Alligator mississippiensis: one gene and its partner. The main gene of each other region encodes a partner of the protein of the gene in region 2 in a complex. Links are inferred from orthologs where the notes say so. Each region holds a gene or a part of one and is shown on either strand. Other genes may lie near its edges.

What was found.
Region 1: the proteins of CCKAR (region 2) and CCK are in contact, whole or in part, in a cryo-EM structure (PDB 7MBX), measured with the Homo sapiens proteins. The link is inferred for Alligator mississippiensis from reciprocal best matches to the Homo sapiens genes CCKAR and CCK. Residues at the interface, in NP_000721.1 of Homo sapiens: Cys94, Phe97, Asn98, Pro101, Asn102, Lys105, Asp106, Phe107, Thr118, Met121, Gly122, Val125, Tyr176, Phe185, Asn194, Met195, Cys196, Arg197, Phe198, His210, Leu213, Leu217, Ile329, Phe330, Ala332, Asn333, Arg336, Ala343, Glu344, Leu347; in NP_000720.1 of Homo sapiens: Asp96, Tyr97, Met98, Gly99, Trp100, Met101, Asp102, Phe103.

What each region holds. Positions count from the first base shown.
Region 1 is NC_081828.1:135,256,818-135,272,847, reverse strand, and holds the start of CCK (cholecystokinin), read right to left. Parts: upstream 7,948-16,030; 5' UTR 7,841-7,947; intron 6,003-7,840; 5' UTR 6,001-6,002; coding exon 5,745-6,000; intron 1-5,744. UniProt on the Homo sapiens protein: This peptide hormone induces gall bladder contraction and the release of pancreatic enzymes in the gut. Its function in the brain is not clear.
Region 2 is NC_081825.1:40,045,255-40,061,340, reverse strand, and holds the start of CCKAR (cholecystokinin receptor type A), read left to right. Parts: upstream 1-7,653; 5' UTR 7,654-7,899; coding exon 7,900-8,020; intron 8,021-8,804; coding exon 8,805-9,056; intron 9,057-12,051; coding exon 12,052-12,313; intron 12,314-15,067; coding exon 15,068-15,195; intron 15,196-16,086. UniProt on the Homo sapiens protein: Receptor for cholecystokinin. Mediates pancreatic growth and enzyme secretion, smooth muscle contraction of the gall bladder and stomach. Has a 1000-fold higher affinity for CCK rather than for gastrin.

The DNA of each region.
Region 1 (16,030 bases), on a different chromosome or scaffold from region 2:
GCAAACACGATTCACAAGATAAACTCAGAGATTTCAAATAGGAATTTATAGTGTTAAAAACATTCTGACCTGTTGTGGTCTTTCTGAGTTCTTTGTAACAGAAGAATTGCTCTATTATTTTTCTGTAGCCAAAAAGAAGTGAAAACCAAGAGCTGGCATTTTCTGAGGGGTGCAATGAAACTAATGAGTAGTGCCTTGAATCTCAAAAGATTGAGAACCACTTCCTTAGAGACTACTTTGCCATAGCATCTGATGAAGCTGGCTATTGCCTAAGAAAGCATATGCATTTCTGAATGAGTTAGTTTCTAAGGGTTAGTCTCCACAGGCTCGATTAAATCAAGTCTGCAGGAGCACAGAAATAGACATGCACCAGCAGACTCTGTCATCATGTGTATGAGCGCCCCTGCACCAAAAAATGGTGGTGGGGCACTTCGAATTAACGCTTGTTCAATAAGCTTTAGTTCAAAGCTCCCTGCTGCCATTTTTCAGTATGGGGGATGCCAATATATGATGCATGGGTGGTTAATTAAAAATACTCATTAAGGCACCCCCCATGCCTCCCCAAGCACATGTAAAAATGCTCCACAGTTCTGAATGAGTTAGTCCCTGCCCTGCTTTCTCTCTTGCTTTTGAGAAACTTTTGCTGACTCAATGTCTTGGTTCTGAACCTTTGCTGGCCCATCAGCAAGAGTTTAAGCATTTGCTGTAGGCACCCTCATGCTGGGTTGTTCCCACCAACCTCAGCTTTGTCTTCTCTAATTTACTATACATACAGCCAACATAGAAGAGCCTCAGGGGAACCATATTGCTCACAAACCTTGGGTTTGGGGACAACTGATCTCAAGTGTCTCCATAGCTCTCAACATTATACAGTGTTAAACTAGACTGCTGATCCCTGCTGTTGTCATAAAGGCAAAGATATCTTTAGGGTGGCAACATAATTAAAGTAATGGGATGCTAAAGCCAACATTTTCTGTAATAAATGAAAACCCTGTACTTTAAAAAGGTGCTAATGAGACAGAAAAAGACTCTTCCATGTAATTAGCAATGAAAGAACTGTAGAATATCAATTCAATTTGCATTTATCCAAACACATGTAAATTTACATTTCTGTGGCTACATTTTAAAACCAAGTGCAGTAACATTGTAATTATGAAAATGAGTTTAAACCTGTTACCATTGAGGTCTATGTCAAATTTCTCATTAACTTCAGTGGGAACAGGACCAGACCCATGTTGTTAATGCTTAATTGGAACAAGTTTGGCAGTCTTTAAATGTATAAAAATTAAAAAAAAATCCCAATCTGCTTTCCTGCTTATGGGGTTTTATATTTTAAAGGAGCACCTATCGCCTCTCTGCTTTTATAATTGGGTAGTTTTCTTCGCAGATGCAAATGAGTCATTTAAAAAAACACAAAAAAACCCCAAAACCTTAAATCACTTTGCCAATGATTGCAGAAGGTAGGAGAGTAAATATAAACTGAAATAAAAAACCCAGCAGATCTTAGTCATTTACTTGGACCAAAATGTCAAACATTTAACCACATAAGAGTGTGTTTGATTAATTTTAGAAGCCACGAAATTCACACATTTAATTCAAAGTATGTAATTATGGAGTGATGAGAATGGTTTCTTGGCACAGCAGAATAGCAGGAAACCATGTCTTAGATCAGGGACTACTTAAGAAACTTTTGAGCTTGCAGATCAATGATCCAGTGGGCACTAATGGCTCCTCTGGACTAATTATGGTCTGCCTTGGAAAATGCTCCTTTGAGAATTTTAAATTTTTGCATCACTGACTTGATGGCCACAGTGCGTTTCATCTACCCAAATACCAGATGCATGCTAAAAAGGCTTTAGGATTATTTAATTGAATGGCCTGGTGGTTTTGTTTAGTCAACTGAATTTCTTAACATCAAAATAGCGGTCATTTTAGTTACCTTTCTCCAGATTCCTGAAGCATGGTGAAGTATATACACTTATGAAACAAATGAACCTCAAACATTCCAACTTTCAAACTGTGGTCATTTTTGGAAAGAAGCTAGCTCCTAACTCGACCCTCTTAAGAGAACTCCCCCCCCCCCAACTGTTCTAGCTGTAAATAGTGACCCTCCACATAAACCATAACAACAAATATCCATATTAACCACTCATAGCAATGAAAAGTATTCAATCTATATACAGCTAAATTGATAGAGTTTTCTAACCATTTAGTCTGAAAATGACTGATGTACTGCAGGGGAGGTATCTCTAGAGCCTTCTTATATTGATCAGAACCTTCATTTTACCATTTTTATGTAATTTAAAAGCAACACTGTCTTGTAAGATGAGGAAGTCGCACCTTTCTGAGCAATGCAAAAGTATGCGAGGCAAAGAGAATTCTGCCATCCTAAACAGACCCAAAAGGTACACGTTTATGTAAGAGGGGGAGAACATGACTGGTATTGGGCTTGAAAGGGAAGTAAACTGGAGATCATTGGGTGAGTCTACATGTGCCATTAACATGCAGCAATAAACTGCAGAGCTTATGCTCTTGGGAGCTTCCCAGAGCAATAAAGTGCAGAGCAATGATTTACACATGTGCCTGGACTGCAGCACATTGAGCCAGGTTGCAGCATCGCTGGCTGGCAGGGGACCTGGGAGGGTGGGGGTCACCTTGTCAGTCTGGGGCTGCTCTGACCAGGCTCAATGGGTTGCAGAGGGGCTGGTTGGGACACGAGCGTGCTTCAGTGTGAGACTAGCTGTCAGGCAGCCCCTGGAGTGAAGCACCCTCATGCCCTAGCCAGTGCCATCAGCATCTACATATGCACTGCAGTGTATGAAGAACTCTGCAGCAGAGTAGGACTGGTATGCGCTGCTGTGCCTGAAAAAAAAAAAAAAAAAAAAAAGAGAGAACAAAAACACCCCCCCCCCCCCAAAAAAAAAACCCAACCCACAAACAAACAACAACCAAAAAACAAAAAAACTGAAGAGGGCTGCTCATATAGACACAGAGATGTTGACTATAATTAGTTAGCTGCACAGTACGTGTCTCATGTAGGCACGCCCATTCTGTGCTTTTCATCAGACCCAACCATACAAAGGTTTTTATATATATATTTTGGTTTGTCACTCCAAATCCTAGATTTTCTCCTTGTACAGGCTCTTTTACGAGTCAGGGTCCAAGTACCTGTCAGTAATATTCTAGAATTAAGCATAACCTTTATAGGGTCAGATGCCTATGGTAATTTTTAAAGAACAGTAACACGCATCTAAAAAAAGAAAACTGAACTATACAACTACATAGGCTGTTTTCTATCACATAATATTTAGGATAAATAAAGCCTAAAGCCAAAAGGTTTGTCACTCTGGCTGGTTTAGATAGTTGGAAATGTTAGCCAGGTATTTTGGGTAATGCCCAAGCTGATCGGTTTCTTTTTTGGGGTTGGGGGTAAGTTTTTTTGGGTTTTTTTTAAAGCATATTTTTAACTGTTTTGAGGGTGTAATAAATCTAGTAAATAAATATCTGAACTGGAATAAATAAATTGGCTTCCAGATAACAGATTTTCGGGAAATAGAGCAAAACTCTTCAAATGGGAGAGAGACTGAGGTGGTACTCTGCAGAATTCCAGTAAGAAACATTTTGCTTATTCATAAAAACCTATATAATTGGGTCACTAATCTTTTGCATGTAACATCAAATCTCTCTTGTTATATTGCATTGGTTGTTAAACTGAGCTCTGAATGGACACAATTAGAATTGGCATCACTAGGTTCTGGGGAAATTTCTTCTGAGCACACTTAAGTGTTTTTGGTTTTTTTCAAACACTTTTTTCCCCCATTATTACATAACAAAGATGTGTATGTAAGTGTGTGCATGAACTATTCATTAGACAAATATAGATGCTGTGTGATGCACAGTGCAGGGCGCACATTATATCCAGTACCTTTCTATGCCTATAAAGATATACTGTATATAATGCATGCAGTGTCTCTTAGTTGTAGATCCCTATTAGGAGTAAGGATGAAATTTAAAGTTAAATTTGGAGGCCAGCACAGTAAATCCCACAATGAAAATATTTGGAGGGGAGAAGTCAGGAGCGAAGTGGAACTCTGTTGCATGGCATAGACTTAGGTTTTGTCAGCCCTACCCAACACAATGTGGGGTGCAATGGAAGTAGTTACTATTGTGGTCAAAGGTGACCAACCTGTAGCACAAGTGTATATGGGCACAAGTGTATATGGCATCCAGCACATCAGGGAGGGAACAGGCAGCACAACAGCCAATAGGACAGAAAGCAGAGCAGGAGATCAGGCAGGGAACACATGGCACGTAGTAGAAAGCGTAGGAGATTGGGCAGAGAGTACAGAATAGGGAGCAGAAAGAGCAACAGATTACTCAGAGGAAGGGGATTGGCATGGCACCCAGGGAGGGCATAGGCTAATTCTGGTATGCCTGCCAAAAAGGTTATCCCCCACCCATTTAGGATGAAACTCACATCACTAAGGTCATGAATAGAACATCCAATGTGTAACAGCATTTACTGTATCCCTCCTGGGCTCCTGACATCTACCCTCTTCACTTCTGAGACATCCTCTTTCCCTGCAAAGCAGGAATGCAATGTGGAATATAGGGAATCTGTGGTGGGTAAACAAGACCTTTGTAATTCAACACATTGCCTGCAGTAGCATTTGCTGCTCATAGCAGCCATCATGCTCACCAGAAGTGCTTGGCCAGCAGCTTGCACTTGGGAACATGCAGTGTGCATCCAGATGTAAAGGAAAAAAAACCCTCCCTTTGTTCAGAATAGAACACTTGTAGCCCTTAGACTATGGTTGTATTGGATGGTCTGCCTCAGGCAGGGAGTTGGACTACATGACCTCTGGAGGTCTCTTCCAGCCCTACTTCTCCATGACATCTATGACTTGAAAAAGAATGAGCCTCTTATTGGGAATTGATTAGGAAGCTGTCTGTAATTGTTTTAATTTTTAGTATCTCTTTTGGAAGAATAACCACCTCACTTTTCAGGAGAAAAACCACTATTTTCTAAGGTCTGAATAGTGAGTGTTTGTTGAATCCAACCCGTAAATTGCATTTGTAGAATCCAGCCCATGAAGTTGATATTGTCAGCAAACCCAGCTGCAGTATCAGACAGCCTTGTAATAGTTGCCTAATGCCGTTGTCTAGTTTTCAACTGATTTTAAAACTAAAAACCTAAAAGAAATTATTACTGTATGTGTGTGGGGAGAAACAAATACTCCAGCACTTACCCCTTTTTTTCAATTTTTTGTAGAAAAAAAAATGTACCTTGTGATCTTGGAAAGACTTACAAATGTATGTGCATGTGCAGACTGGAACTGGAGTTTCTCACTAAGGACTAGCAAATACACAGTGTCTGAAATGCTGAACCTCCACTGCCTTGGTGTTTGTTGCCAGCCCCATTAGTCTGGTCTTAATTTTATTATTTAACAACAGGAAATGTGATTATTTTTGCCCCTGTTTGCTCAATTAAAAATAAATGAATTTTTAAACAAGATTCAGGAAAAATCCAGTCACCTTTGGGCTGAGACCAAACGTGGAAAAAAGTTATGAGCCAAAACAGGGAATTGAAATCAAAAGCTGATCTGAAGCCTTACATATGGGCTCAATTCTGCTCTCAGTTCTGCTCCCTAGTGCTATAAATCTATAAAGATACTGAACCTCAAAAGGTGGCGGTGGGGGTGGTTCTTTGACTCAAACACATGCCATAATAAGCAAGTTATTACCTTTTCTGGCTTGCTGGAGATATTTGGTCAACAAAGCTCCAATGTTGGCTCTTTGGTCAACATTTCCATCCACCCGTTGGACAGATCTCAGCTGGCTGGCAGACGAAGGAGTACGAACATGTCGGTGATGTTCTGTCAAGCTCTGCTCCAGCTCAGGGGCCACAGGATTCGCATTGTGAAAGCCTGTAGACTGCTGTCCAAAGGAGATCGTTGCGAGTGCAGCAAGGAACACACAGATGCAGATACCGCTGTACATGGCTAGAGGGGAAGAGAAGCAGAGGTGTTACAGCAATTATCTTCCTCTATTTTGGTGGTTCTCGACATTTTTTTTGATACCAGGACCCATTGGTAAACATCGATAGCCAGTGTCCCGACTCAGCAATAGTTTAAGTAGAAAATACACAAAAGTATTTTGGCCCCAAGTTAAAACTACAAGTTAAAGCAGCTCAACAGTCTTAATTTTAAAGACAGAAATCAGTATCAGCAGGAAAACATTAGGCACAATATCAGGATGTGGCCCTACATTACTCCCAAGTGACATTCATGTTTTTCCATGATTGTTCATGACCCTTTCATATATTCTTGAGACCCACTTTTGGGTCATGACCCAAGGGTGGGAACCGCTGCTCTATTTCATACTATGCCATCTTGTTAAAAGTGCTGATTTAAGAACAGATTTTAAAGTACTGTAACTCAAGCATCTAGGTTAAGACCTTGAAGAGGATACATGCAATTTAGTTAAGGTGTCAACATATCTTTAAGGAGAAGGAGAAATCTTTGAGCTCTACAGTAGCATGAGATGGGATAAAAATGAAGCAATTGCAAGCCTTCTTTCATCTCTACAGCTTGATATACTCGATTCTTATTCATCTTTTTTATAGATCACATTTAATAAAAACAGAAGGTGCCCGCTATGCGCAAAACAAACAAAACAAGTCCCCCAAAACAAACAAATAAAAATAACAACAACTGCCTCCCCCAAAAACAACCCCCTCCCTCCCCCCAAAGACCCCTGAGGATGGAATATTTCACTTTTTTTGTTATAAATTTAAAAATGATAGTGTGTGTGTTTCAGGTTCAAAAGTTTGCAAAGAGCATTTGTTTTAGCAGCTCTTTTTTAGTGTGGCCCTAGTATTTCCAATGGTTTTATTATATCTTAACAAACGAACCAACCAACCCCTGCAGGATAGCTCCAAGTAAAAGAAAAACCAAATCCTAAAATTGATCATTTGCTCCAACAGTGGAGGAGCTGTTTGGTTAAAATTTTGTCTCAAGCAACTTTTCAAAGCCATTTGATTTGGTCTATCAAGCAGAGAATTCTAATGCAATAGATACATCGTTGCTGACAAATAAGACCGAAGACTATACAAAATGATATCAGGCTTTGGCATGGTTGATCCTTCAGGGATCCTATGCACCGAAATAAAATTACTCTGGAAAAGGGAAAAAGAAAAATAGAAGCTCCCACGGTCCAAAAGAACACTGCTGGCCACTTCACCTTAGCTGCTATGTCTCATTTGCATGCACATTAGTGAAGAGTCCCTCCTGGATCCAACCCCCTCGACATCGGAGTGATTCCTTCCCAGGACGCTTCTAAAAACTTCTCTTTCAGCAAAAGATTCAAGCAAACGTGCCCATCCCACAAGAACGAGGATGCCCATGGCTTAACAATGACGGGGATGCTTTATGCCTGGCAGAGGGGTGATCATCATTGCTGGGAAGAGGGGACAGGAAAGCAGGGGAAGAGTTGCAATGCAAAGGGAAGAAAGTGAGTCCGGAGGCATCCAGCACAGATCCCGCCCCCTACTTGCTCTGCCCCTTGCTTGGGCTAAGGAGGGTGGCTCTGATCGCCAGTCCCCTACCAGGTTGCCCTGGGATTGTGTCTCCTTTTTTGGCTCAGCTGGAGCAGGAGGTGAAATGGTTTGAGAAGTTGATGGCAGGGTAAGAATATGCATCCCCCCTTCTCACACACACATACACATACATACATACACACACACACACACACTCTCTCTCTCTCTGTCCCCCAATCGCCTAGATCGGAGCTGGAAAGCCACATGCCCGGGAGCGCCAGCGCCGGTCCCAGCCTCTCCTACCTTCCTCCGGGCAGATCTGGGCAGGGTAGGGCGGTGTCGGGGGCCGAGAGCTGCTGCCGTGCTCCGCTGCCGCCTTAAGTAGCGCGGGGCGGGGGGGCTGGCAGCGCGGGCCAGTGCAGGCGGGGCGCGGGGAGGAGGGGGGAACGAGCAGCTCCTCCGGGCTCTTAACCCATCCCTGCCCGCAGCTTCCTTGCTGCGTGAGCTTCAGGTGCTTGTTAAGTTGGGGGTCTTTGCACCCGTAGGGCTCGCGTGCCAAGACTGCAGCTGTGCCCGTGTGTGTGTGTGTGTATGTGTGTGTGAAGCGGGGCAGAAGCTGCCCCGGGTCACTGCACACTGATCCCTGCTGTGTGTGTGTGTCTGGCTGGATCCTGCCCCCTCTCTTCCCAAGGGCAGAGGGGTGCTGCCTTGTCTGTCCTGCCCGGCAGGCACCGAGGGGCTCCAAACCCCTCTGCTCAGGGGCTCGCGGGGCTGGCACCACAGCTGGGGGCCAAGGGAGATTCTGGGCCCTGCTGGCAGGGGAAGGTGAGGACCCTTCAGAGGTGAGGGGGGAGGTGATGGGGTCTGTCTCATTCCTCCAACCCACCCCTGACCTCCCCCAGGAGCTGTAACTCCCTCCTTCCCCTCAACATGGTCCCTGGTTTCTTTCCTCTGTAGAGGATTCGCGGCTCCTGTGTATGTGGCAAAGCCTCAGGCTGTGCCAACTTCTGATTCCCTCCCAGTCCCTTTCCCCTTGCCATCATTGTCCAAAATCCCTCAATTTGAGGGTGATCTCTACCACAGCTCATTGATGGATCTTGTGGTGACTCCAGAGTCCAATCCTTGAGTCACAGATGCATCTGCACAAGTTGCAGGTTTTTCCCCAGGGAAAAGTAGATTGCAGGCCAGTATTTCTCTCCTTTTTCTTTCTCCACTCCTTCCCCTCACATTGTGCCTGGCAGAACAGAGACCCACTGGTTCCCAGTCTCCAGTAATCCTACCTGGTCCTGTCTGTGATTCAGTCTTTTGCCCTAATGACTTTGGGGGTCTGCCTTTGCTTCACCCCAATCCCCAACCTGATCTTGAGCCATTTGTGGTGGTGGGGGTGGGCACTGGCAACATGCGGAGAAGGTGGGAGATGGGAATTGGGTGAGCTTGGGACCCTTTGCCATCCCTTCACCCTACCCATGCTTTTCTCTCCTGCCTTCTGGATCCTGGGACCTGGCTCCATCACCACCTGGGACAGTGCCAAGGCAGGTCTAACACTCCTGATCCGAAGGGGATGTTGGTGACTAGCCCGGCTACACTTTCCAATTAAAACTGGTTAGAAATCAGCTGTAGAGTTGTTACACATTTTCAAGTCCTAATTTGAGAGCTGGTTGGCTCTTTTTATAGCCAGAGAGTCATTTTTAGCATGTGCTAATTACTTTGCGTGTGTGTTGGTCAAAATATATTGTGCCATCAACTAGTTAATTGTGTGACAACTACTTTGCCCTCATGGTCAGTTTTACTTTTCATGCATGGCTGGTATATTGTGTGATATGTTGCAGGGGCCTGGCTCACTGAGCTGGGAAGAGAGGCTGCAGCTGTTCAATCAGATCTGGAGGGATTTGCAAAGAACAGAGGAAGTCTGAATGTGTGTGTGTGTGTGGAGAGAGGAGAAGAAAAGAGGGACAGTGCAAAAAGAGCCAGCATTTACCTCAGGATGCTTTGATGAAGGAACTGTTTCCCCTTTCCTAAGAATTTGTTCTCTCTGTCAAACTGAGCCTTGGACACATAGCATATTGACATCTGTGTAATCAGCCTTTACACTGGTGCATGATGTGCAGTGTTACACTGGGGTCACTAACTTGAATTCAGTGTAGAATTACCCTGGGAAAAATCAAGGCATATAATTAAACAGGTGCAAGTTATAGTGCTGCAAGTGTAGATGTGTAGAGCTGTCCCAAGAAAGTCTTTGGCCAGAGGTTTGGAGGCTTTCCTGCCATCTCGTGGACAGGAGCTGTAATACTGTATGCTATCCTGGAATACCTGATTCTCTCTCTACTCTGGATCCCAGTGTAAGGTCAGCGTACAAAACCATTGTAAGTTATGCCAATGTAAAAGTGGCATATGTCCAAGCCCAAAAGGTCTTTCTGATTAGTCAGTTTCCCTAGTTTGGCTTAATAATAAAACTGCTCACTGTATTACAGAAACAAAATGGGCAACATGAAAACACACAGTGACTGGCTGGAGAAGTAGCACAAACTTTCTGTGAAGGTACTATGCAATAATACTTCTCCTGAAGAGTGGCTTCATGGAGCCCTTGTGAAGACATATTATAAATCATGAGTTCCCATGGAAATAGCCTGGAGGTTCACGTAGGAGAAAATCAGACAACTAATATGTATAACATAATATTGAATATATAATATGGAATGTTAAAGGTTGATCTGGGTGACCAATTACCGTGTCAATGCAAATGACATCAGCAGTACATAATGACAGGAATTCAATTACATCAGTATGATGTGACATATATATTACTTTGATTATAAATACATTTTAGCTGAAATGCTGAAAAACCTAACTCTTTTCTATTTCAGACAGACTGACAGCAGCTGTATGTTTCCTGACAGCTAAATTACTCTAAATAATAGGAGAGGACATCATTCTAACTCAGCCATTGAAAAGTTCTTAAAGCAGATGCTTCTCACAAGGGCATCTCTTGTTCCATAGGTCAAACACTGTGGCCCTGAATGTGTGGAATGCCATGTAATTGAGGAGAATTTAAATACATTGTTTTTGCTGTTGAACAAATAACCCTGCTGTGTACCTCCAAAATACATGAAAACAGCAGCAATGGTGTTAGTGCTGTACCAAAACAAAGAGAAACTATGACTGTCCATTGTATAGTCACACATATAATATCTACATATATTAGAAGTGTGTTCATGAATATTTACAGTATTACATTATGAGTGTTTAACTCTCTAACCATTTGCTAACTCTGCCTTGTTCACAAACTCTGCCTTGTTCAGTACATAGGTCTGACAATTTTCAGTGAATGTTGCTGCTGTTTGATACTTTTTATTCCTAGTGTTCAAAATTCTGGTTTTCTGCCTCATTCAATCCACACTATCTATCCTCCATAGCAAATATATTCATCATTCATTCACCATTCTTCACAGTGACTAAGAAAAATAGATCATATTAGGTTAACATGTAATGCTGCTCAAAGCAGGTTAGCATCTTAACTGGTATTCTGAAGTTTTTGCATTTGCTACCTTAACTTTCTTTTAATCATTTTTTGTGTGTCAGATTCTGAGATTGTATGTTATAATTTGTGTGTTCTCCAGTTCTGTGCTTGATGTTGTATAGAATGCTTGGGTCTCAATAAATAGTTTTTGCATTTTTGAGAGGGTCAGAAAGATATCACTCTAGTGAAGTAAATTCAGTAGTTGAGTGAGATAGGATGAAGTTTGACTATAGATGCTTTATATAAAAGATCTCTCAAACAGTTATTATGGATCTGGATAACTTGTTGTAAATGTTATTTCAAAAACAGCAAAGTAGCTAATTAAATTGACCTCCATTATGGGCTGGTATATTCAAATACCAGGAAACATGCAGTTTTTATTGTTATTATAGTAATTGGGAGGGTTCTAACTTTTCATGATCTTATTCTTTAGGTTTTCCACAATCTCATATACAGTATATAGTTGTTAAGCTCCTAATCAAAACTATAGGTTAATTTAAATCTAGTTGAAACCGTTAGGTGAAACAGAGGCTTTTCAATTTAGACAATGCAAGTGTCTGTAAGTGACAATTTGCCTGTCATCTGAGCAGGTAAAGCCTGTATTTTAGAGGGCTGAGGCACCTCTCACTTTCAGCAAAGGATCCTAATATTCAGAGCTTCTCTTCTTTCTCTACAGTATTAGAGGAATCACACCCTGTAAGAATGGGAAACTTTCTAAAGCCTGTTTCTGGGTAAATTTAGCTTCTTAAAGAGCTTGGGTTTGTGTATCCTTTTCCTGTCACATTTTTCTGTGTCACATAGTGACTCTTCAAGATCATGGGGATCATTTAAAAAAAGGTGGTGTTATGGCCTTTCTCTCAGGGATAAAGGAACTCAGTTATCCCTAGATACTTGCACATCCTTTCTCCTTTTACAGCAGTAGATACAGGTGTGCTAAGTGGCTGTGGCTTTTGTATCCTTGAATATAGTTCCTGGGTGATATCAGCTGTTCCTTACAACAATATGGTTTTATGAGGAATGATAGAAGCTATATACTTATTATGCTTATATTTAATATTTTTCTAGATAAAGGAATAACATATGGGCCTTTATTTATTACACTGTTCAGACTCAAAGACATTTACACTCTATATTGGAGAAGTAGCTATGTATTGCCAAGCATAAGCATATGGGGAAGTTATACCACAGAGGATAAAGCCAGATGGCTGTTTTGTGGAACCAAGGAAGCCTAGTGCTTAAGAGTGTGATCACAAGCACATTTTCTCCTTTGTCAGTATCACGTTTTTCTAATTTGCACTGCATTTTTGTTCTACTAAGACCTGGCTACTTATGAACAAGTACAAGCTATACTGGGCAAATTTATCCTTATTGTGGCTCCACTGAAGTCAATGGAGTTGGCCACAAATGGGATGAATTTGTCCCATTATGTATAATGAAATAGCAAGAACTGGCAGCAAATAACAGATGAGTGGAACTGTATGTTCTTCTGGCACTCATTTTATACAAACATATCAGTGAATATATCATTTCTGCAAACTTCATGATTATATGAAGAGCCCCCTGAGTACATTTTAAGAGACAAAACTCATTTCTTTTAACACTATTGTTCATATTGACTCAGTTGTTGTTAGCTGGTTTTGGTCTTAGACTGTCTTTTAAATGCAGAGAACTGAAGGCTTCTGACCCCTTTTGAGAAAGTTGTTCACTTCGGCCAATGTGTGGAAGGAAGAAACACAATAGGAAAAATAATGTGTCCACATTTTGCTTGGAGTGGTGGGCATGCAGGTGGCTTGTAGGAGTAGGGCACCATGAAGATCACTAATCAGCATTAACTCCATTTTCTCATCCCACTAGTGATGGTACAGTGAAGACACTCCTGTCGATTAATTGATAGCATCTGATGAAGTGAGTTGTTGCCTAGGGAAGTTTATGCCTCTCTGAACCTGTTAGTCTCTAAGGTGCCACCCTGCCCTGATTTCAGACTAGCAGAGATAACTGCATCTCTCTACCAATTAATTAAGAGTTTCTGTGTGTGATGTCTGCTCCACTTCAGGATTTTAAGGGGGTGTGATGAGAGGTTAGGCTGAAAGAAGCCCGAGGGGAACTGATAGCATCCCTCTCTAAATCCCTGGGGATTTTTCTGTGTAAGACCATGCTGACCTTGCCACCATTACCTTATGGGGAAATGCACTGTTTGTTTACCAGTGAACCAAAGCCGGGGAATTAAGGTTTTGGCTCAGGAACAAATGGAAAATTAGAAAAGGAATTTTAGGATCTAGGAAAGATAAATAAGGAAGGTAAGTCAGCTGCTACGAACATGAAAATACATGGCTAGAAGGGGCCTCCTGAGTCACTGAGTTCAGTACCCTGGGTTCATAGGCAACTATTTATCCAGGAAATTCTTCCACAAACCCTCATAATTATCAGGCACAATATGCAAAACATTAAGAACACCTATGACGTGACATTGGTTAAAGCAGAGGAGTTGAGGGTGATGCTGGTGCTTTGTTACGGCATTCACAGAGAGGTAGTTGGTTAATGTATGGTCAGAAGATCCTGAAGAGGAAGGCAAAAACTACTACGGTCCATGGCAATCTCACCTGGTGGAACAATTGCTTCCTGATCCCAAATTTGGTGGTTGGGTTTACTCTGAGTGGAAGAGAAAAAAATTCTCCAGCTAGGAGCCTTTGCTTTTTTAAGTGCTGGCAGAAGCAGTCAAAAACTCCATTCAAAGTCCCCTTAACCTTAGCAATGGCCAATGTCCTTTTGAAAGAGGTGAGACCCTTTTCTCTCCAGAAGCCAATAGTATCCATGAAGGGGAAAAAAAATCCTTCCTGGCCCCTATAAGCAACCACCAAAAATCCTGAAGCAAGAAGTTCTCAGACACCTGTTACACTACAAGAGAGTTACCCAACATGGGGATTGTAAATACATGATTGTTGAACCAATATCCTCTCATACTGTCACTTCCATGACTTTATCAAGTTCAATCATAAAACAATTCTGGACCACTACTTGGCTTAGAAGGCAATTCCAAAACTTCACTTAGACTGTGAAGTTTAGACAATGATAGCTAGAAATCTTTTAATTTCCAATCTAAATTTATCTGTAGCCATTTGATTTTGTGCCAACGTTGCTTTTCAGCCTAAAAATAGGCTTCTTTCTTCCTAATATTGAATACGAATAACTTTTAAAGAGTTATTATATCCCTTATCCATCTCTGTTTTTTAAGCTAAACAAGCCAAGGTCCTTTAATCTCCCATAAGAAAAGATCTCCATTCACTTAACCATCACTACAGGTCTTCTTTGAATAATTTAAGTTAATATTTCTGAATATTGGTAATTAGAACTGGTAATTAGAATTGGTAAGTGGGGTCTTACCAGTGCCTTGTACAATGTTATTAGTACTTCCTTGTCTTTATTGACTATATCCCATCTAATATACCCTAGGATTACATTAGCCTTTTACACAGCTGCATCACACTGGTGGCTCATGAACATTAACCAATTCAGACAGGTCCCTCTCTTCCTCAGTTGTTTCCAGATATATTCCCATTCTATAGTCAAAGTTCTTATTATTGATTCCTAAGTGCATGACTTTGTATTTCATACCATTTATGTTCATTCCCAGTACATCCTCTGTGATTTCAACAAGACTACTACGGCTTGTCTGTACTGGCTCAGGGGTGGATATCACAGAAGTTGCAGATAAGCATGCCTCACCCACCCACATCAGCTGACTTGCTCCACAGTCAGAAGTTTGGCTGGGAGTCTGCTCTAGACTCACCCCCCAATGCCCAGTCTAAGATGCAGTGAATGCTCAAGAGTGTGTCCTGGGAATGAATCCAGGGTAGTGTTGTGTTGTGGCTGAACTTCCAACTCTGAAGCATGCATGTGAATGTGGGAAGGTAGGGTGTGGGTGGGGTGTGATTATCTCTGTTCTCCATGGGACCTACCTCTGACATAATACAGGACAATTCCTGAGAGCTCCTAGATTATTTGAATACATAAGGAGATCCAGGTATGATATAAAATAAAACTGTCAAACTCAGATAATCAGCCTCTCATGATGAAAGAAATGTTGGTCTAATAGTTTCATCCTAGAATATCATGATATTTTAATTCTTGCTTTCCTTTTGCTTTATTGTTTGCAATATACATTTTTTACTTTTCTGCATACAATTCAATAGTAAAATAGGAAGTCAAAGAGTCACATTTTAATTCCGAGGATTAAGGAGAGGATAATTGCCAAACAAGCAAATAAATACATCCTAAATGACTGTACAGAACTGTGTCCTTAGGTTTGTTTCAGCAAAGTACCTGTACATGTGGTTAAGTCCCCCTAAAGATACTAGAACTAATGCATGTGAATAAGTGGTTTGCTAGACTGTGGTGGGGTTACTTTTGCTTAAACTTAAATTCATGTGTGTTTTGCTAAATTATGCTATTAATGTAGTTATTAAAGACAATTTTCCCTTTGAACCATTTGCCATTTTTGAGGTCCCAAGGCTGAACTGCGCAGGTGACACAACTTTTTTCATCTGAAGATATGAATCACATTATTCTTCTCTGTAATTTATGTTAACCTACAAATGTAACACTACATGTGTTTAATCCTGAGTGACCTGGATACTTCCCTTCAAAAACAGATTTTTGAGAGAACACACTCTTGAGAGATTTACCATTCAAATATGGAGTATTGCCTGGTGTACCACACAGTTCTGTGATTTATGACTGCTGAAAAATGTGTTCAGTCTGGAAAACTGTTGGGAATTTTACTTCTGGATGTTAGAAACATTTTTACATTAACCCCAGGGCATTACAGCCTACTGTACATCTGATTACACATCAGTCTATATAAGACATAAACTGAGAACACCATACATTTATTTTTAAAAATTAAATATTATCCATCATATGAAAAATAATATTTATATTAATTGAAAACTCACTTCAGTGAGAACCATGCCAAAATA
Region 2 (16,086 bases):
TAATTATGTTGGTAGCTGCCATGATTTTCAGATCTGATGGACATACTATGGACTCTTCTTTTAGGCTTTGTAAAAGGATCAATTACCTCATTCACATGAATCCAAGATGACTTCAAATTTAAGATGACCCTCCAACAGTTAGATTCTATACATGCAAAATGATAAATTTATTATAATTTTCCATGCATAGAATCTAATTATTGGAGGGCCATCTTAAATTTATCCATCTCAAGGCAGCACTGGAGGAAAGCAATTGCCTGCCCTCCTTTCCTCTTGTGCCTGTGGCTGCCCCTCCGCTACTTGCCCCTGCCTCCCAGTGGCTGGCCCCCCTCACCGTTTGCTCCCTGCTTCCCTCCCTGCCCATGTCCTCCCCATGTCTATGCCTTTGCCTGCCCCCTGCTGCCTGTTCCCGGTGGTTGCCCCCCCCCCCACCTCCTCACCACTGCTTTCCTTCTGGGTAGCAGCTCTGGCTCTAGGGCAGTCAGCAGCAGCCCAGCCCAGTCACGGAGAAGCAGTGAGAGTGGCTCTGGGCCCAGCAGGGGAGCTGAAGGTACACAAAAAAGAATACCAAAAAACAGGTAACTGGATAAAGTGTTTTTCTTTTCCAATTTAGCTAAAACATCATAAATTTGCCTTCCAAGAAATATTTTAGAGGGTGCCTTTATATTTAACTAAAGATTCTTTAATAGCTGTTGTGTCTTTATCAGGCATAGTATCTCAACTGAAGTTTTTTCTATTTTTTCAAAGTTAGAAAATAGTAAAGTTTGTCAAGGGTCTGTTAAAGAAAAATTAACAGTAAGTATTTCAGCATCTCCACAGTAGGACTTCATAATCTAAGTTTCAATGTATGACGTATTTTTAGGACTGATCTATAAACCCATGGAAGCATTTGGATATGAAAATACCTAGAAAACCCTAATTTAAAGGGCCAAGTGAGTTTCACTTTAATAAGGAATGAATACTAGGCATTTTGAACAGAACTTTGTCCATGTACTCTGCTTCTCCTTTTTTTTTTTTAAGATGTTGTATGCCTGGGCAGTTTAAAAATGATTTTGTAATGTAAGCAAAGACCAAACAATGAACATTAATTTAAATCTTACATCCTTTCTCTCACATTAACTCCCTGTACAATATAATATTATATAAACACAGGCTAATACTCCAAACTACCTAGAGCAATTCTTCATTGGAATGTGTTTTCTTAAGGATAATATAGACAACAGCATTATAAGCAATGCTGATAGAGCTATCTTCTCAAAGACCCTCTACGATGAAACACTGGAAACATTTATTTTTGTTCATGTTTGGATGGTATTTTGGAATTACTTTATAAGGAAATAATTAGAAGTTGAAATTTACTGTGTCTTATGGCACTTTGGATGGTAATAGTCTGAAACAAGCTTGAAAAAAATACTGACATCACAATCTACAAGGTTCATCTGCATCTCTTAGAAAACACATTCTCCTATGGGACTACAGCTTGTAAATCAAGGGTTCAAGTCATTCCATTGGAAAAACTGGAGAACAGGACTGACAGGACCACTAAAATTGAGCATGGCCAAACAATATTATTACCAGGCAGTATTTTATCTCAGCTTTTATTCTGAAGTAAATTTACTCCAGAATAAGCAGCTGATATATTACCAGCTGGCCACAATAAATATTATTATGGTACCTGGCCACTAGGTGGTGGGAAACCCATTTGTATATAGCAAAATGCAATTACAGAATGAAATGGACTAAGGAAAGAGACGCACAACACATTCTGCATAATAATTGTACACAGTAAAGCTACAGCACATTTTTCAAGCACTAACTTTACTCTGGATCCAAGTATTTTATTATGTAGTTGGCCTGTGTACTGTATGATGTGTCCATGCTCACACTTATAGGCATGTCTTATTTACCTAACTGAAGAACTGAAAAAAATTGGTTTTGCTGTGCTTATCAACATGACTAAGAGTCACTAATAATTCAAACAGGGGGAAAAGTATCTATTGGGGTTTTCCAGGGTCTGCTCTGGGCCTGTTACTGTTCAATACTTTCAATTAGTGATTTGGAAGACAAAATTTAGTGTAAAATAGTGAATGGCACCGAGTTTGGAGAGGTGGTAAGCACTCCAAAGGATGGGATTAAGCTACAAAGTGACCTTGATATATTGGAAAAAATGGTCTGAATAACAGGGGCAAAGTTATGAACATGGCACAAGGTGACCAGTGGCATCCTTCAGGGCTCAGTACTTGGGTTAGTTCCCTTCAACATCTTCATTAATGATCTGGATTCGGGCATCAGATGCAGGCTGGCAAAGTTTGCAGACAACTCTAAACTATGGGGGAAAACAGTCACAGTGGAAGACAGGCTGGGGTTACAGGCCAACCTGGACATACTTGCAAGGTGGGCAAACCAAAACCTAATGGCCTTCAACATAGAGAAGTGCAGAGTGCTCCACCTTGGAAGGAAGAATCAGCAGCATACTTATAGACTCAGCTGTGATACGTTTGCTAGCACCACGACCAAAAGAGACTTGGGGGTCTTGATTGACCACAAGATGAATATGAGCCAGCAATGGGATGCCATAGCTGACAAAGCAAACCAAACTCTGGCATGCATCCATCAATGCATCTCAAGCAAAACCAGGGATGTCATCCTCCTGCTTTACTCAGCCTTAGTGAGGCCACAGCTGGAGTACTGCATCCAATTTTGGGCCCCCCACTTCAGGAGGAATGTGGATAAACTTGAGAGAGTCCAAAGGAGAACCATCCATATGATTAATGGCCAAGAGGGCAAGCGTTACAAGGAGGGGCTGGGGAACTTGGAACTCTTTACCCTGGAGAAGAGAAGGCTCAGGGGGGACTTGGTGGCAGCCTACAAGGGGGGAGCATCAGGACCTGGGAGAACAGTAATTCACCAGGGCCCCCCAAGGGATAACAAGGTCTAATGGCCACAAACTCCTGGTAGGCTGATTTAGACTGGACATAAGAAAAAACTTCTTTACAGTCCATGGGCCCAGGGTCTGGAACAGACTCCCCTCAGAGGTGGTGCAAGCACCTACTCTGGACTCCTTTAAAAGGCATCTAGATGTTTATCTTGCTGGGATCATTTGACCCCAGCAGACTTCCTGCCTATGGCAAGAGGGCTGGACTTGATCTCGTGAGGTCCCTTCCAGCCCCTAATGTCTATGAGATCTATGAAAGTGATGCATTTAAATTGACAAACAAATGTACAAAGACACAAATAGGATAGTGACTGCCTAGGTTATAGTAACATAGGAAAGGATCTAGGGCTTATAATGAACTACAACCTCAACAAATTAACAGTGTAATACTGTTGCAATAAAGCTAATTGCATATTAGACTACAGAATATATTAAAAGGAGTCCTCTACTGAAGTCACAAGAAGTGATTCTTCCTTTCTATTTAGCACTGGTAAGGCCTCAGCAAAACCAGTGGTGTCCAATTTGGGGAACAACACTTCAGCAAAAACATGGGCAAACTGGTAAGAGTCCAGAGGAAAGCAACAGAAATTATTGTAGGCCTAGAAAACACAATGTATGAAGACAGGTTGATAGAACTAGGATTATTTAGCTTGCGAAAAGGGAAGACTGAACTGGGGGTAGATGACTGTGATCAAAGAGAACAGCTGGTCACCCTCCTCTGTCAACAGTCCCTTTTGTATTTAATAACACGAGGACATCGCAAGCAGTAATGGTGTGAAATAACAAGATAGATCTAGGTTGTATATTAGGGAAAACTTTTTATGAAGATGGTTTAAGTACTGGAACCGACTAGAGCAGAAGTGCTCAACCACCAGCGTGGGAACCAGATCCAGCCCATGGAGCCAATGCCATGGCTCCCCAAGGGTCAGAAAAGTTAATGGTGGGGGAACTGAGCAGTGTTATTTGCTACTGTCCTGCTGCCATTTCTGGACCTGTGGGAAACCTGCAAGCCAGATAGCATGGCCCTCCCTGCTAGATCAGTCATGCAGGGTTGGGGCTACATGAGGCTTGATCCAGAAACACAGGGCCATTTCATTATTTTACTGGCTTACAGGGTGCTCTTTCCTTCCTGTGACTTAGTTTCCCAATCTGTAAATGGTTAGTGACATTGATCCTGAATAATGATAGTGACCAAAAATCAGTATAAAAAAAAGCTCAATATTATGATCTTTTAAACTATATATATTGACTACTGTCACTTTTGAATGAGAAAAATTGCAAATAAGATTTCCAAAAAGCAAATGAAACTGGTAGTTACTTCTGTAATTTTTAAGGACCAGACACGCTTTACACTTGGTAGATCTGTTTGAAACTCAGAAATCTGCACGTTGTTATACAGCATAAGCCCATTCTCCCATGATCCATAGACTGTGTCACAAGGTAGAAGGGAATACATTCCTAAATCAAAGTGATGGGCTTTTCTTTCTTTATGATGTTCTTAGCTCTGCCTGATAGCCATGTGTTAATTTATCTGAGCATTTTGGTACCCATCTCATTTGAGATTGCATTAGACCCCTTTGAAATAGTACTAATATCTAATGAACAGTTTGAGTTCAAGTTGATTAGAACTAATTTTATTGGAAGACAATATTTGCTATTTAATAAAACAAATATATACCACCTATGATTTGTGTAGAAGGGCAGTGTTTCACATTTATTGATCAAAGTCCTGTTATGAACTTGCTACAACTTACCAAGTCCTATGAAGGTATAATTCCCTCTTTTAATACATGCCATTCAATTCATGTGGCTATAAAACAAAGCAGTGTTTCTTTTGCCCATGTATTTATTGCAGTTCCTCTAAGATATTAAAGCTGACTGGAGCAGATGAGGACTTAGCTGAAATGCAATCATCATAATAATGGTGTTCCCAGAATTTCATATATTTGACAAATCAGTGGCCTAATTCAGATCTCATACTAGTGTATATTCAAGGAGTCAATGGAAATATGCCAGTGTAAACCTGAGAGGCAGGTATGAACAGAATCAGACTCCATATTTCTATGTAAATTTCCTCTGAATATGCTCTTATTTCATTTGCTATGATAAAAATATCCTGATACTAAAATTATATTTCTACATTTAATACAGGATAAAAGAAGAATTGCTATTCCATATTTATTCTAACAAGTAGAGATGCTTTTTTAATTTACATGAGGAATGGGGTCTTTGAATGTTAGCTTCAAATTAGTTGAATTAATTGAATTAGTTGAATTAATGAATAAAACCCCAAAATAAAGCTCCATTCTTATAAAAAAAATATTAAGAAAGCATAAATAAATGAGACTAGTTTGTGGTGTGGAATATGTTACTAGTATGATATGAAATGATAGAATGTCGCAATTACTTTTACTATTAAACTAGTACTTCAAGAGGTTGACAGCAGTAACAAAATTAAATCACTGGGAGAGAAAAGGGATTAGAGACCAAACAGTATCTTTGTATTAACAGCAGATTTATGTTCGCACACACAGAGAAAAAGATTGATATTTCTACATACTTTTCTTTAAAGTATCTACAAAGTGAAACTTTGGTGTCCAAATTATTTCACATGCTTACTACAGTTAAGTTCAAGGAAAAGCACATTTCTATGAGTAATTGATATTGTTATTAATAAAACTAGATTTTTCTTAAGAATTAATCTTGCCTAAGGTTTACACCCTCAAATAATGTTCACTAATAGTAATATGAGTTAAGTCCAAAGAGAAAAAAAACCCATTTGGATTACTATTGCTTCTAAACAATGGCATCATACCCATCACTGGTAGAGACATCATAAGGAAGACTTCTGTTTTTAAAAAGGAATGTCTCCTCTCATGTCATTCATAGCAAGGTAATTTACTAAGGATAATACAGTCATTAATAGCAATGTTTGAAAGTTCAGCCCACATTTCTTTCTATGTCCCACTTGCTCACCACCACCCAGAAAGAAAAGCAAGTTCACAACCCAAATACAGCCCTCTTCTGCAGGCTGCTTTCTGGCTTTTCTTGTGACCTCCATGCTCAAGATCAGCATAACTTCTGGCTGTCATTTTAGAAATTCAGGATCTAAGAAATGGCAGCTCTTACTTAGTCCATCTGAAACAGGTAGTGAAAATGATCAGTAAATACAGAAATAAACCAAAATCCACTTCAACATTTCATTATAACAAGTGCTCTCTCTCAGGCACATGATGTAAATTAAGAACTGCAAAGCTAGGAAGAAAACCAGAGTTATTCATAGAATAACATACATCATGTTCAGAGTAACCTGCCTGTAAAAACAAGCAGTTTTAAACTTGTATTTTTAATACTTTTCTCTCATGTAAAACATTCTAGATTCACAGGAGGAGAATCCCAGAATATATTGTTCTGGTATGATAGTTAAGTCATATTTGATAGAAAAGCTCTTTATGCTTATATATATTTTTGGGGTGTGCAAAGGAATATTTCCGGCTAGACTTAATTTATTTCTTTCTGAAGGAGAATGGGGTACAGTAAGTATAAGTACACTCCATGCATTGATTGACTACTACCTCAGACTTTAAAAAATTACAAATATCTGTACAACAAATCAAGAATGATCATAGGAAGTCTTGGAGGAATAAGAACAGATCTGAACTTATCTACAGAGTTGCAAGGCATTCTTCCTAATCAACATGCCAGGAAATGTGGCTGTGTGAGAGGCTGAGAACATAATAAATCCAAGACTTCCAACCTTCACAGATTAGGCTGGAAAAAGAGATCTGTAGAACATAATCCTATTGTACTGCCTTGTCTATTAGAAAAGATTTGAAATGTGAAATTTGACTGCAGAAAGGATCAATTTATTCCATTATTTAGTAATTTCCCATTTATGATTTCACTTGTTTAAACAGGCTTACAGTTTTTTGAAAACTTTACATATCATTTCAGGTTTATCATTTCGTGGCTATACCCCAGTGAAAATATGTTTGTATATACTCAGAGAAAAAATGCTAAAACACAAGCATTTTAATCATTGTTATTATTCTGTTAATAGGTAATATAAGGGTAATGAAAATTTATAAACTGTGTCTTAAACCCTCAGTTGGAGAAAATATAGTCTCTCTTATATTAACTAACATTATTAATACCCTGTTTTTTAGGGCTTGATCCAAAGGCCACTGAAATCCATGGTAAGACTAATTGATTTCAATGGCCATTGGATTGGGCCCACACAACCATTTGTATGAGCATCCCGAACTGCATTACAAAGGAAGGTACATACCATTATTTCCCATTTACTGCGTCTAATTTTTACCCAGTTTTCCAACTGCACCTAGAGATACTATCCTGCATTTGTTTAAGATTCAAAGATACTGGTGCTTTTACATAAAGGTGTACACATGTACAAAGCCCTAATTGACTCTGTTTCTTCTTTTCTACATTCTATTATCAATGTACTATTACCTTGTTAAATGTTGACAGAAAGACTGATTTGTTATACATGTTGTTCATGATTTACTGGCCATGGCAAAAACAGGTTCACTAGAGAGGCACTGTAGACATACAAGCTGAAACCATCTTACAAGGGGTTAAGTTTGTAATCACTATCTAGAATATTTATAATCCCAACCACAGCCCAGTAATAGAAGAGGGTGGATCTAGAAGGTGCAGGAGGAGACGTGTTTATGTGTGTGTGCATGTTTTTTCTTTCATGTATCTATATTGCTTTCTATTCTACTGGAATAAATCTTTTCCATTTTGAGCAGAAATCTATATACTAGTTATCCCTTATGGATAGTTGAAAAAAAGACCTTTACTAGGACAACCACCTTTTTTAAATCGTTCTACTGAAGATTTCATTCAGGAATATTTTTTGCTTATTGGCAGATGAAAGAATGGGCAGATAGTTGGAAATCAAACTTTCTCCCCAGTAGAAGCAAACCTGTGGAGCCTGAACAATGGAAATAGTTGATGATAGTCTACTTGAAAATGGAACCAATATTTCTGCTCTTTTTTGTGATATTATCTTGGAAAATGATACATTTTTCTGTGTGGATGACTCACCTCATCCTGCTAAAGGTATGTACATGAAAATACATTTTTTTCAGAAAGCAACAGTTTGAGCTGAAAGTAAAATCAGAGATATTTTTAGAGAAACAGGTACTCAGAGGTTTTTTGAGGCAGAGCAAAAACAAGCATTAGCTGATAAATTCAGATAAGCAACAGACTAGCAAGTAATTAATATGCCCCGTCTCTTCAGTTTATAAACATGGCAGGAAAGAAATATAAAGCTAAAATGAAAAGATAACAATAGTGATACCAAGTCAAAATACAGATGGTACCACTTGAATGCTTAATAATATGTACATACTTTGTAGTACTATTGGAAAATTCAGTAACTGCAGAGTTATATGATTATATGCAGCATATGAAAGTGATTAACATGATATATGTCATGCCTAAAAAAAATTACTAATTATAATAATACAAATTGCCATTTATTTTTGGTTCTTAAAATGAGTTCACTGTAATTTAAATTGTGCTTTGCAATGCTTATTTTTGAGTAGCATGTACTTCTAAGTAGCCAAATATAGTTGTTAAAGTGTACAGTGTATTGAATATATTGTACTTAAACATTATACAGTTCAGGTAGATCAGAATCAAACTCAGAATTTACTTCCACCAGTTTTACTTTGGTGTAAAGATACCAGCTTCAGTGGAATTAAATATAAGAAAAGTCCACTGCCTTGAATGTTGAAGCAGCCTTTACCTTTTGATTAACAGATTAGACCTACTGATAAAAACTAATACAGTATATGATTTGCATATTTCATAACTAATTCTTTATTGTGGCAATTTTCAGATTTGCATCAGACAGTTCGGATTCTGCTGTATTCCTTGATATTTTTGCTCAGTGTGTTGGGGAACAGTCTGGTAATTACAGTGCTGATAAGAAACAAAAGGATGAGGACAGTCACTAATATATTTCTGCTGTCACTGGCTGTCAGTGACTTGATGCTTTGCCTTTTCTGCATGCCATTCACCCTCATTCCTAACCTGCTGAAGGATTTTATCTTCGGTAGTGCTGTTTGTAAAACTGCCACCTACTTCATGGGTAAGTCTCTCAATTGTAGCATTTTATATTTGCTCTAAAGATGAACCCATTAGGGTTTGTGAAATGCTAAATAAGGGCCAGATCTTTTAACATGCTAAGATATCCCAACCCTGGTGAAACAAAATTGAGTAAATGTTAAGAGCTCATTGGAAAGATCAGCACTATGAAATGCAAGTAGCACAAGCAGCGACTAAAACCTCTCACATATAAAGGTAAAAACTTTTTCTGCACAAGTAAAATGGACTAGAAGGAGTCCTGTTACGAAGAGTGAGGGTGACACCCATTTATAATGAGCATCGTGTTCAGAGTCAAATCTGCTCACTTCGGAGACAAATGGTTTTACCTTTGTTGGACCAGCAGTCAATACAGAAATAAGGACTCAGTCTTGCAAGGTGCTGAGCTCTCTAGTATAAACCAGTGAAACCTTTGGAATAGGTTGAGTGTTCACTACTTTACAGAATCAGCCTCTAGGAAGGGAGCTGCATTCAAGGCCCACTTGCTTATTATCAGCAGAGCAGTTAACAGTTTGGATTGCTGGGCAAATACATTACGATTGCACAACCATAACCAAGGGCAGAATTGTCTACTCCTAAGTGACAAATGAAAAGGGGAAAAACCCAGCCAGGTTTCAGCCTCCCTGTTGGGGCCTGAGGAGGCGGCAGGCTGTGAAACGCACACACACACACACTTTTATTTGTAAATGCATCAAATTTGTCCAGAAGTCAGTGGAGAACAACAATTATGGAGCCTCATGATACTATTTTTACACTCACTTTGAAGAAGCAATATCATTTTAAAAATGCTTTGGCTGGACATTTGTCTTGTTACAGAGGTAGATCCAGGAGCTGCAGGTAGACTGGTTTATGAAGCAGCTGCAAGCCACAATCTCTCACTTCAGAAGGTTTACTTAAAAAAATGTAAAGTAACAACAAAGCCATTCTGAAAAGCTTTTTTTTCAAATCTCGAAAGCAAACCTTAGCAGTTCATTACAATAATGTATGTATGTCCAACCTGCATCCTTCAAAACTATGAGGTAGTATGAAAGTGCACTTCTGAAGTGTGGGAATGGGAAGTCAACATCTTTCTTTAGATATAAATCAATAACACTAAAGTCCATATTTAAACAAATTGTAATGAATGCTGACACGACAAAAATTACTGAAGCACTGTGCTTATAATGAAATAAGTAAAAATATCAGACTATCACGTTAAATTATTCAGAATACATACACACACACACACACACACATCTATATCTACACACACACATTCCAGTATGAAATTAAAAATTACAAATTTAATTTTATTTTACGAATCAGAATGTGGATTTTCCTGTTAATAATTTAGGCCAATGGTGCTCAGTCTTTTTCCTCCAGTGGGCTGGTTCACCCGTGTACAGTCCATATGCTGGCCAGATCCAGCCAGTGGCCCCAGTCAGGGCTGGGGGATGGGGAGGTGGGCAGCCTGGCCCCAATCCATCCCTGAAGGCAGGGATAGAAAGGGGTTTGACCTAGGTTCAACCTGGCCCCAGAAGGGAAGGGGGCATGACATGGCCCTGATCCAGCTCCATTGGGGTCGGGGAAGGGTGGCCCAGCTTTAATATAGCCCCACAGGGCCTGGGGTTTTTAAATTTGGCAGTGGTGGAGAGTGGCCATATTAAATTGCCACCATTCCCCTGTCACCAAATTTCCAAATCCGAGGTAAGCCCCGTAGGCTAGATACCATGGTTCCATGGGCCACATTTGGCCCACAGGTTGGAGGCTGAGAACCCCTGATTTAAGTTAAGAAAGGAACAGTATTGATGAATAGTCCCTGATATGCACTGCATCTCCCATCCACTTAAACTGTCACTTTAGGATGCAAGAGGGTTATAAATATGAATACTACAAAGTAGAAATGATTTTTGGCAAGCAACCTTTTATGTAAAAATGTTAATATCTTACATTTTTTATCTAAGAGAAAATAATTTCATACCAGAAAATTCCTATGTGACTTAAGGTTAAAGGGAAAGAACATTTCTAGTCATGCAGCAATTGTTATTTTACAATTATAATTCCCCAAGGTCACAAGGGAAAAAAAATATATGTATAACACAATGTGTTTAAATGTAATGTTATTTTTATATCTACTAGCAAGGAGGAAAAATGAACATACATTTTATAGAATCAGGTTCTAATTCTCTACTACACTTCCTTCAGTTTGGTTTTATATGCCTCCACTAAAGACTATGGAAGTGCATTTGATGTATGCTTACTTAATTCTAACAAAACAGGAAGTTTAGTGATTCATCGAAAAAGATAATTGTGGTTATTTTATTTAAAACAAAAATATACTTTTTTATTGCTATCAAATTAACTCCAGTGATTTCAAATGCCTGATTATATTTCAGCAAAGTTACATTAGCATAAGAACTGGAATAACAAAAGAGTAGATAGTCATAGTAGGTAGGGTAGATTTGTATGGTATAGAGTAACCAAAAAATGTATATGTATGTTCATGTGCATATTTATACACACACACACCCCTGCACATTGATACATATCTATCTAACAACCTTTCATGGGCTAGAGTGCATGTGTGCACGCACACAGAGCATCTGATGAAGTGAGCTCTAGCCCACAAAATCTTGTGCTATATCTCTACTTTCATTGGTCTACGACATGCAAGTATACCTGCCTTGTACGTAAGGTAATGTAAGAATCTTATGCAACTGACCATATAACTTCTTGCCTTGGTAGAACAAAGACGAAAGCTGTCAATTATTTTGTTTCACAGGTTTGAGTAGTTAAGTATAAATCTGGAATATCAGATTACAAAACCCAAGTACCAGAAGGCTGTGTCAGAGCTACTGCCATAGTTTCCTTACTGTGCATTATGTACCCAGAAGTTTAGCCAAGAATCTTAAAAAAAAAACAACCAAAAGAACAAAAAAGAGAGCCATCTGTCTTTTGAAAGAAGAATAGACATAATTAATTTGTTTGCTTTCCATGTCTAGGTATCTCAGTCAGTGTATCCACATTCAACCTGGTTGCCATATCTTTGGAGAGATACAGCGCCATTTGCAAACCTTTACAGTCTAGGGTCTGGCAGACAAAATCTCATGCTTTGAAGGTGATTGCTGCTACCTGGTGCATCTCCTTTACCATCATGTCCCCATACCCAATATACAGCAAACTGGTTCCTTTTACAAAACCGAACAACAGTACAGCTAACATGTGTCGCCTGCTTTGGCCAAGCGATGTCATTCAGCAGTCCTGGTAAGATATAATCGACTCTTAAATATCTGATAATTGTCTGGTATCAAATAAAATTACATGGTTGCATCAAGCCTGTTGCAAATCCATTATTAACCATTAGAAAAAATTTAGAATTCTGGTATGCTTATTTAGGAAGTTCCATAGACTGCTATTTCTTAAACTGCCTTTTTTCTCCTTTAACACTGTCATTACTTTTGCTTCACAAAGGTGATATGGTATATGCCAATAATTCTCAGGCTACAGATGGTAAAATATCTGTTGCCTTTGTAGTGCTCTCCCTAATAGTAGAGCTCAGTTCTCTACTCCCCCTTTCAAAGTGTTTTTGATCAAGTACTCTTGAAAAGCCATACACATCCACACCCCTGTACCCCTTCTATGACTCATTCTTTGCCTGCGTAGAACGGATGTAGTTCCAGTTGTCAACAAATAAGATGACATGCACATTGGAGAGAGAATAAATGTACTCGAAAATGGAACCAAGCTAATAACCTGGAGAGATTAGAGCAGAAATGTAAGCAGGCAATGCGAGGAGAAATCAGTGCTATTAAAACACAAAGCCATATGCCACGAGACTGTGAATAAATGGTAAAGATACAACATAAGAACATAAGAAGGTGCAACATTGCATTGAAAACTAGTTTATTTTTACCTTGTTTCCTTAATATTTTCTTTTTCACATAACCAAACACTTTGGCTATCACAGGAACAGTATAGGAGTGTTGTTAATAACTTTAGCAGAACCTGGGAACAAGCCAATAGCTGGTACTACCTAGTATTGGTGCATCTACAGAAACATTTATTGTGTGTTAATATTTTCAGTACTTATTATGCCTGCTATAATGAGCATGCATGAAAAGGAAAGTTAAAGAGTTAAATCCTATTTCCAGTGACACCAGTATAAATATAGGGAAACTCCAGTGAGTGTGCAGTAAAACTACTGACAGCAGAAAATGTTTAGGCTCAAAAATACATGATTGCTTTGTTAATAATATTTTTAAACAGAACTTCTGTCTGTTGCAATCTTTTAATAGTATGGTTTGATGAATATACTGTAAGGTGGATAGAAAACTGGCTGAGCCATCAGGCTTGATATCCAGCTGGTAGCTGGTATTAAGTGGAGTGCCCCCAGGGTCAGTCCTGGGACTGGTTTTGTTCAACATTTTCACAAATGACCAGGAAGATGGGATGGAGTGCACCCCCATGAAGCTTTCCTATGACATCAAGCTAGTGGTGAGTAGTAGATACATTGTAGTATAAGGCTAGAATTCAGAGAGATGTCAACAAATTGAACCAAAAGAAATCTCATGAGGTTCAATAAGGAGAAGTGCAAAGTTAAGACAGAACAATGCCATACACACCCATAGAGGCTGGGGACTGACTGGCCAAGCAGCAGCTCTGCAGAAAAGGACTAGAGGTTACAGTGGATAATCAGCTGAATATGAGCCAAGTATGCCCTTGTTACAAAGAAGGCTAATACTTGTTATGAAGCAGGCTAATGGTACACTGGGCTACATTAGCAGGAGTGTTACCAGCGGATCAAGGGAAGTGATTATTCCCCTCTATTCAGCACCGGTAAGGATACATCTGGAGTATTGTGTCCAGTTTTAGGCCTTCCCCCCACACACTATAGAAAGGATGTAGACAAGTTGGAGAGTCCCGCAGAGGGCAATGAAAATGGTTAGGGGCTAGGGCACATGACTTCTGAGAAGAGGCTGAGGGAACTGGGTTTATTTAGTCTGGAGAAAAGAAGACAGAGGTGATTTAATAGCAACCTTCAACTACCAGTAGGGTGTTCTGAAAGAGGATGGAGCTACACTGTACTTAGTGGTGGCAGATTCTAGAACAAGAAACAATGGTCTCAAGTTGCAGCAAGGGAAGTTGAGGTTAGATAGGAAGACAAACTTTCTCAGGAGGAGAGTAGTGAAGCACTGGAAACAGGTTACCCAGATTGGTTGTGGAACTCCATCCTTGGAGGTTCTGAAGATCAGACTAGACAGCCCTGGCTGGGATAAGATAGTTGGGGATGGTCCTGCTTTCAGCAGGGAGTTGGACTAAATCATCTCTTGAGGACCGTACTCTAATTTTCTTTCATTCTATTATATTAATGTCATACAGAACAACATTTTAATAATACATTGATTACTATGTGTAATAAATATTGAGTTTCCTTTAAAGTGGATTTCCCACTATGTGAATGGTTCAGTACCAAAACAAAACAAAAATCCAGCCCTAGTATGTACCATTTTTCCTTTGGAATGGGCATGAAGTTGGAGGTGAAACAAATACCCATCTCATTCCCTTGCTCTGGTTGGCATGTTGTTCTGAGGCTGGGTACTGTCCTACCCCAGGAACATAGGAATGACCAGTATCAGCATCTCACTTATGCACTAGTAGGTGGTTTAAGTTTCCATATCATAAAAAAAAAAAACCACAAAGCAATTAAACTGGTTCTAGTAGTCAAATATTGAACAGGCAGAGACCAAACCATCTCTTCTAATCCCTTAATTGTTGCCTATTCTATCTGGGTAGAGACCCTTTGAGTTGGCAAAGCAGAGAAACCAGACCTGCTTTTGTTCACACTCTTTCTTCCGTGGGGAAAAATGGGATTCCAGCCTCTAGGACTGCCGAAGCAGCCTACCATGCATTTAACTAATGAGACACCTAAGTCATTAAACAAAACACAAAATGTGTAGCTGCTTTTCTGTGTTTTTGCTGATCCTCACTCTGAGAAGGACTCTTCTGTGGCTTCCACAGGTACACATTTCTGCTACTCATACTCTTTCTTATACCTGGGATTGTAATGATGATTGCATATGGCTTAATTTCCTTGGAGCTATACAGAGGAATTAAATTTGATGTCAGCCAACGCAAGTCTTCACGAGGTAACAGTACAAATGAATTATTTGTTTATTTCTTTCTTTTTAAATAACAGATGTTAAGATGTGAACAGCCAAGCACACAATTTATTCCATAAACAGCAATTTCTGCTGGCATAATGTCCATGAACAGATTACAAAATTCATATTGGACACATTCATTTATTAAAATTATTAACATTATCTGCAAAGAATTCAGTTGGGATATTAGATTTGTAATTCCACTGTGTTAATTACATAATGGAGTGGATAATGTGCCTGCTTGCACATTAGATGAGTTTTGCACTAAGGCTTTGGACACACATTTCTTTGCAGTGTTACAAAAGACCATAATGCTACAAACATTAAATGCTATGGAAGTATGCACGTGGACCCAGACAGCTCCCTGGCTGAAGCGCTACAAATTTGCTTCAAAGGTACACTCTCCAGCTGGGGGACAACAGAGGGCTGCTCCTTTGCCCCCCGTGACCCAACCACCCCTCCCAATCCCCCAGCCAGCTGGATCAAACAGTTTGCCTTCACCCATTCCTGGACCAGCAGCTGTCACAGACTGCTGCTCCCCACCCCTGCCACCCCAATTTTAGGGGGCAGCAACAACCTCGCTGCCACTGCAAGACAAAGACAAAGCCAATGCTTTTGTGGCAGCAGGATCCCAGCATGGCTGTGACAGCTCACCACCATAGTTGGGCAATCTGTCAGGGAGAGCAGAGGACTGTGGGACATTAGAGAAAGCATTCCTGTAGCCATAGATGACCCATAGGAGTTGACAGTGGGGGGGCACAACTCCATGCCACCACAGTTGCTGCTGAGTGCTGGCTCCAGCCCCATGCCCTGCCACCAGCACAGAAATTGCACCGCCCCCACTGCTGCTGGGCCCTGGCTTCAGCCAGGCTGCAG